Daphnia pulex: one gene and its partner. The protein of the gene in region 2 binds, or shares a complex with, the protein of the main gene of each other region. Links are inferred from orthologs where the notes say so. Each region holds a gene or a part of one and is shown on either strand. Other genes may lie near its edges.

Region 1 (3,751 bases), about 700 kb from region 2:
ACTTAGGCAATTCATATGATCACCAACCATTATTTGCTTGCTTTTTTTCATAACATACCACTATTAATGAATTGTGGGAAAGCTATTATACAATTTGTAAAGAGTGTTTCAATCACATGCGTTTCTTCAATTTCTATTGCATTTCTACTAACTCCACGATGTGCAGCAATTTTATAGATTATTAACTCACGCCTAGTCCCTATGACGTGCCTTTTTTTATTGATAGAGAATTAAATAATAAACGATATTTTTAAACAACACCTGATCTTCATTCATTTAATAAATAATAAAAATTATCGAATTAATATAATTGAAATTCCCTAGATGCTCTACAATTTGGCGACGTGGAACTCAATATACCTATCCTCCCGCCTCCCCCCTTAAGCCAGGCACGAGTAAGCCCTGAAGGGATGTTTCATTACCTCTAACCGCCACCAGGAGGACTAAACAGAGACTTCGACTACTATCTCTACTCAGATCCCTTTCGACTCTCGCGCAAAATAGATAGACATTGTTCCCGAACATTGACACACTTGTTAATTATTTTCCAATTTAGTCAACATCTTCGTAAGGTTGGTATATTTTCTTCTCTTAATTTCTTCATTTTGAGTGATGTCAATTGTTGAATATTATCCAAGTTTTGTTTTGCTTGCTCTAACTTGTTTGTCACGACCCTCCCCCTATCTGTGGACTGACTCACTCACAAACAGTCGCTGCTTTGCTTTCGATGCGTAGAGCGCCATAGTGAACACTGTTTCTCAGATAAACCAATTCTTTATCCGTTGACATCCTTGCTCGTGTTTAAAAACTTGTCTATTATATCTCAACTACTGGTCTACTAGGTCAGTTTGTCATTTGCTGAGATTTATTTTATTCGAAATTGAATGCTTCAGTGTTACACGATCAAAAGTCTTTGTGTATATGGACGCCGATTCTGTTGACTTACCGCCATTGACAGATTCGATTTTTCTCATTTTATTTCAGGTTTAGTAAGCGACGTTTGTATGTGCACAGAAGACTGAAGCCATAGTTCCTGCTTCTTTGGTTTCACGTTATTTTCGTTTGCAGAAATCGTTCGCCTTCGTTGGAGAAACTTAAGTTCAAGTGATCGTTGTTGAAGAAGGAATTCGGCATTTTGCTCGAAAGTTTTGTTAAGTAAGAAGAAAAAGAAAAGAAGAGAAAACCATGGCAGAAGCCGTTGCTAGTCAGCCAAGCTTAGTGGCCAACAATCATGCCCTTTCGCCGATGAGACCCAGTCCTCAGCCGCTAATTGCGAAGCAGTAAGTCTTAAAAATCATGTGTTCTTTGTTCGTATTTCATGACTGTTTTTGTTAATATTTTAGAGAGAATAACTCTGACAATTTCTGGAAGTCTCAGTTGAAGATCCCACCCAAGGATCGTAGAAAACAGACTAGCGTAATATTCTTTCATTCAAACATCTATGAGAGTTGGGGGTTAAATTTTTGGTTTAATTTCAGGATGTTACCAACACTAAGGGAACAAGTTTTGAAGACTTTTGTCTGAAGCGTGAATTGTTGATGGGTATCTTTGAAAAGGGATGGGAGACACCTTCACCCATTCAAGAGGTTGGAATTCCTATGGCTCTGACTGGGCGTAATATCCTGGCTCGTGCTAAGAATGGAACTGGAAAAACAGGTGCTTATTGTATACCAGTATTGGAACAAGTAGTTCCGTCTGAGCAACACATCCAAGGTACTGACAAGTTTAAGTTTTTCTTACAGTTCTGGGCCTAATTTTTTTTTCTTTGTAGCATTAATTGTTGTGCCAACACGTGAACTGGCATTGCAAACAAGCCAAATCTGCATTGAACTAGCTAAACATTTGGATATTCGTATCATGGTGACTACTGGTGGTACTGACCTGAAAGATGACATTATGAGGATCTTTGGAAAAGGTATTCATTATTCCTTGTTTACTTCCATGCAAGTTTTAACAATCATTGTTTCTTCCAGTTCATGTTGTGATTGCCACTCCTGGTCGTGTTTTGGATCTGATGGAAAAGAAGATTGCGGTAATGGACCGTTGTAAGGTCCTTGTTTTGGATGAGGTATGTGGGAATTATTAAGAGTTCTGTTAGACGATTGTTCTTATTCTTTTGTGTAACTAGGCTGACAAACTGCTCTCTCAAGACTTCATGGGAATGTTGGATCGTATAATTTCGTTCCTACCAGCCAAGCGCCAAATTTTGCTTTATTCGGCAACTTTCCCTGTAACTGTCGAGGAGTTTATGGTAGGTTTATTGGTTCTTGTAATTTGGTTCTTGATTTAACAATGATTGTATCCACAGAGGAAACACATTGATAACCCATATGAAATCAATTTGATGGAAGAACTAACACTGAAAGGTGTCACGCAATACTACGCTTTTGTCCAAGAACGGCAAAAAGTGCACTGCCTCAATACGCTGTTTTCTAAAGTAAGTAAAGGTTTATTTAGATTTTCAGTATAAGACTGATGAGTTATTGTTGGATTCCCCTTCTCTCGTCTGAGAGAAAATCAACACCTGATTTTACTTGAATTAATTTTAACTGCTGTGTTTTAAAGTCACGATATTAATATCTGTGTTGATATTATAGTTGCAGATCAATCAAAGTATTATCTTCTGCAACTCCACTCAACGTGTGGAACTTTTGGCTAAGAAGATCACTGAGCTGGGCTACTCGTGCTATTACATTCATGCCCGTATGCAGCAAGCTCACAGAAACCGCGTCTTCCATGATTTCCGTAATGGGCTGTGCCGTAACCTCGTGTGCTCCGGTAAGATTTGCTTCATCTTTGTAATGTTAAGTGCTCGACTGTTATGATGAACTTTTTGTTGGATTCCCCTTCTTTCGTCTGAAAGAAAATCAACATCTGATTCATTTAATAATGTGAAGCCAAGAAGAGAAAAGGATGTTGAAACTAATCTTTTGCGTTTTTATAACAGATTTGTTCACTCGTGGTATTGACATTCAAGCTGTGAACGTGGTCATCAACTTCGACTTTCCCAAGATGGCTGAAACTTACCTGCACAGGATTGGTCGTTCGGGTCGGTTTGGACACCTGGGTATTGCTATCAATCTGATTACTTATGAAGATCGTTTCGCCCTGCATCGCATTGAGAGTGAACTTAGCACTGAAATCAAGCCCATTCCTAAGGTTAGTCTTGGATATCTCGTGCAAGTATTCATTGTATTTACATTGTTTTATTTTTTCAATGAAGGTCATTGACAAATCCCTCTACGTGGCCGAGTTCCAAGAAGATTCCGAGGAGCAATCAGGAAAGTAAAAAGGCGAGAGAATGTCTTCGAAAAGCGCATGCATCACACAACGTCATGATAGGACACAAAAAAAAATTGAGAAAAAAGAAAAGAAAATGAATCCTGTAAGTGAAATTTATGAAAGGTCGTTCACTGGGACCAATGTATTGAAGATCAGAATTAATGAAAAGCACTCATTAGCAATTGGAGGAGTGCTGCAGCATGTAGGGAAAAAAACCATTGTACAAGAGTAAAAACAAGGATAACTTTAAGCATGCGCTATCGAAAGACTGTTGTAAATATGTAAATTCTCACGGTGGCGAAGAGCCAGTTTTTTTTTCAGTTTAGGAGAAAAGTTTTTGTTTTGTTTTTTTGGGTACAATGTTTTGCGTGAATGGATGTGTGAACGTCGAAGGCTAAAGCGTTAGGGCGGCAGGTTCCGTAAAAGATGAGATTCCGTCAGGGAGTAAGTATGTGAAATGAAGTTTGGG
Region 2 (3,602 bases):
TTTTCTCTGGAACAATCCTACACGAGGTGATCGATTTACAACGTTGCCAATTCGGGGTTATTAGTGCCATATTTAAAAAAAGATTATTTATAATTTTATTTCTTTGTGAAAAAAAGCTGCTGCTAAATTATATTTTATCCTTGTATTTTTCTAAATTATATTTCTATTTTCGGAAACTGCTTTTAGCTATTTACCCATGAGAAATCAATAAAACTATTTCATCACGTTTTTCTTTTGAATTGTGGTCAAAATCAATGAGAATATTGAACGAAACATCCGGAAATCTCGAGAAAAAGAATACCCTTTTGGAAACTATCCAACAAAATTAAAGTTACCAAATTTCCCGTGGAAACTCTTAAAATTTTTGTGTTTTGTACGGAAAAAAAACAAACAATCCCACGAAAACATTAAACAAGTTGGCACTCATGCGGTGCTTATACTAATGAACTAAACGTTAAAGGAAATGCTACGAGAATTGAAAAACAATTTTTTTTTAAGATGTTTGTATTTGATTCGTGACCAAGATCAAATTGATATTTTTTGATTCAGTGCCGAAAAATTGTAACAGAACAAAATGTCCAGCCCTGATTCTTTTCTGCTGGTGAGGGATAACGAAAAGAACTTGATCACGTTTATATTTTTGTTAACTTTTATTGCTGCCCACCAACTTTCCACACTCAAGACGTTTTGAAATTGTTGCTGTTGGTGTGTTTGTTGCGTAAAACTTGTTGTGTGTCGACATCTTAATTGTCCATCCCTAAACCCCAATAAACAATAATCATATTGGTTGCTTTATAAGTTTGAACTCGTCTCTTGTCGTGTGTGGTCGTTGATTTTATCTTTTTTTTTTGGCTTTCTTTAACAATGATTCACATGCCGTCCACGAAATCGCGCTCACCGACGTTGATGCGATCCGTCGAAGCAGAAACGCTGAATCCCAACAAACTGGCATCCACTTTCTGCATCTTCTTCTTAGACTTCTTGGATTTAGACTAAAACGGAACATTTTCATTAGTGAAATGGTAGAGACAACGTTTTATCTTTTATTTTTAAATAATTACTTTAACTTCATGGAAGTCAGATGATTGTCCCGGATTTATGGCTTTGGCCGGGATGCACATGTTGTCCTCTTCGTATTGCTGGACGTTTCTTTGCATCTGGCGCCAACGAGAACGTTGATCAAGGAATTGCTTGGCGAACTCTTTGGCGTCTTTGCCCTCGCCAAGATACAAGCGAACATACTCCTGGACTTCAAATGGAGATTCCACGTCCTGTAATAAATGTAATCAAGAAAAAAAAATGTAGTCAAGAAACATTAACGACCCGACTCAAAAGATTAACTGTACCTTGAGAAAGGCGACAAATGTGGGCACATCAATCTGTGCCTGGACTTTCTTCAGGTACTCAAAACACCACTGACTAAAACTATCCTTCTTTTCAGCGGCGGCGGCGGCAGTTTGATTAAACAGCTTGCGAACCGCTTCTTCCTCCTTATTACTGCGGTTCTTGTTGTTCGACGCCGCCGCCGTCGTCGTCGAACCCGACGTTTTGGAAGTGGCCGGTTGTTGTTGTTGTTGCTTAGCTCCCGCTGCTTGTTGTTGCGGCTGCTTGGACGCCGCAGCCGCCGCAGCAGACTTGCCACCACCACCGCCAGCAGACTTGGCCGCCGCTTGCTGCTGAGCCGGTTTGCTCGTGGCCTTTGGAGGTGGAGGGGTTGGATCCTCCCAGAAACCAACCGTCAGGCCAATTTTCCAGTCGGCATTCGTGGTGGTGGAATGATTGGTTTTGGCGGTGGTGGTGGCCGCCGTCGCCGCTGCCGCCGAAGGGGGAGGTGGTGGGGGTTGCTGTTGGGCCACAACAGCGGCAACAGTCCGGCCAGAACTCCAAGCCGAATTACTGTGGTGCGATGACCCCCAAGCGCTGGCTGCCGCCAGATTCAGGTGCGCCATGTTCACCTGCTGGTTGGCCTTTTCTTTGGCTTCCTTCTCCTTTTGCTGGGCAAGTTGAGCTGCCTCCTCGGCCTGAATCTCGGCCAGAGACTTGGCGTTGGATGGGGTCGGAGTGTTTTGTTTGGCCCAGCGGAGCTTAATGGCCGCTTGCTGTTGTTGCTGCTGTAAAAGAGCGGCCGCACGAGCCGCCTGCTCGGCCTTTTGGGCCTGGGCGATTGCCCTTTCTTTGGCTTCCTTTTCTTCCTGCAACTTTTGAATTTCAGCCATGCTCAGCGATTCACCGGTTTGCTGTTGCTGTTGTTGCTGCTGCTGCTGTTGTTGGGCCCACGGAGCCATCATGGCCTGAGCAGCTTTAGCCTGAGCTTGAGCCTGCGCCTGTTGTTGAGCGGCGGCGGCGGCTGCAGCAGCCGCTTGCTGGGCGGCCGCTCTAGCCTGAGCCTGAGCCACGGCTTGCTGCTCCTGAAGCCTCTGAAGGGCTTCCTGCTGGCGGCGGTGTTGTTCGGCCGCCTTCTCCTCCTCTTTCCGGATCCTTTCTTCTTCTCGCCGGATCCTTTCCTCTTCCAGTTGCTGTTGTTTCAACTCCTCCTCTCGTTTGCGCTTCTCCTCCTCGCGCCGCCGCTTCTCTTCCATGGCTTGCATTTGCTGTTGTTGCTGCTGCTGTTGTTGCGCCAGCTCTCTCCTCCTCATTTCTTCCGCTTGCTGCTGTCGTTCCGTCTCCCTTCGCATCTCTTCTATCCTCATCCTCTCTTCCTCCCTCTCCTGCAACAAGAAAAGTTAAAAATTAAAAACACAAACATTCGCAGCTTTATTTCTAAATATTTACTTGAATTTCAAGTCGTCGTCGACGTTCTTCTTCCTCCTCTTTCATCCGCTTCTCCTCCATCTCCCTGCGGTGCATTTCGGCGGCCATTTGCTGTTGATGTTGTTGCTCCATTTGGCGCTTTGCTTCCTCGACCTTGGCGCTTTCAAGATCCCAAACGGACGTCATGGGCGGCTGAAGCTCTGCAGGACCGGCCTGGAAGAGCGCAGAGTGATTGTGCCAGGGAACACCGACGCCAGGAGGCAGTCCATGGAAGCCCGGCGCCACGTGATTGCCCATCACTGGATCAACGATGGTTCCACCAACACTTTGGGCCGCTACATGATTGGCGTTCCATTGAGCTTGTTGGATGAGACTTTGGATGGGATCCAGGACAACCTGGGCTTCTTGTGGTTTAGGGTTATTCATGATGGAGCTGGTAGGAGGTTTCGAAACGACGGCCGGGGGCGATTTCGATTGCCCCAGCAACTGCTGGATAAACGCCTGAATCGGATCATGAGACTTCATCAGGTTGTTGGGATTGTTGGCAAGAGCTGGCTGCTCTAATACTGCTTGCGGTTGCTGATGATGCTGCTGGCTGAGATGGTTGACTAAAGAGTGCACAGACTGCTGCTGTTGTTGTTGTTGCTGCTGCTGATGCTGTTCTTTGCTGCGCTGAAGCTGAATCATTTCAGCTTGGAGTTTAGCTTGAGCCTCCATCTGGAGCCGCAATTGCTGGAGGACAGGATCACCCGGGAGTGGATGCGGCATGTTTGCCATGTGCTGGTTAACCACCTGCTGCTGCTGGATGGGCGACAGCGTGTTCCAGCCTTCCATCTGCGACAATTTGGCAA

The links.
Region 1: the proteins of GRB10-interacting GYF protein 2-like (region 2) and ATP-dependent RNA helicase me31b-like are in contact, whole or in part, in a crystal structure (PDB 6S8R), measured with the Drosophila melanogaster proteins. The link is inferred for Daphnia pulex from reciprocal best matches to the Drosophila melanogaster genes Gyf and me31B. Residues at the interface, in NP_001162827.1 of Drosophila melanogaster: Glu344, Asn345, Pro347, Glu348, Trp349, Ala350, Ile351, Glu352, Pro354, Ser355, Lys356, Leu357, Gly358, Gly359, Ser360, Phe361, Asp362, Ala363, Ser364, Gly365, Ala366, Phe367, Gly369; in NP_523533.2 of Drosophila melanogaster: Tyr274, Ala275, Phe276, Val277, Glu279, Arg280, Gln281, Lys282, Val283, His284, Cys285, Thr288, Leu289, Ser304, Thr305, Gln306, Arg307, Leu310, Leu311, Lys314, Glu317, Leu318, Phe370, Pro420, Ile421, Lys423.

The regions. Positions count from the first base shown.
Region 1 is NC_060018.1:12,397,733-12,401,483, reverse strand, and holds ATP-dependent RNA helicase me31b-like, read left to right. Parts: upstream 1-1,185; coding exon 1,186-1,280; intron 1,281-1,343; coding exon 1,344-1,416; intron 1,417-1,478; coding exon 1,479-1,713; intron 1,714-1,771; coding exon 1,772-1,915; intron 1,916-1,973; coding exon 1,974-2,068; intron 2,069-2,128; coding exon 2,129-2,251; intron 2,252-2,308; coding exon 2,309-2,437; intron 2,438-2,597; coding exon 2,598-2,778; intron 2,779-2,947; coding exon 2,948-3,159; intron 3,160-3,223; coding exon 3,224-3,289; downstream 3,290-3,751. UniProt on the Drosophila melanogaster protein: ATP-dependent RNA helicase which is a core component of a variety of ribonucleoprotein complexes (RNPs) that play critical roles in translational repression and mRNA decapping during embryogenesis, oogenesis, neurogenesis and neurotransmission.
Region 2 is NC_060018.1:13,102,168-13,105,769, reverse strand, and holds the end of GRB10-interacting GYF protein 2-like, read right to left. Parts: coding exon 2,773-3,602; intron 2,709-2,772; coding exon 1,347-2,708; intron 1,272-1,346; coding exon 1,062-1,271; intron 993-1,061; coding exon 870-992; 3' UTR 647-869; downstream 1-646.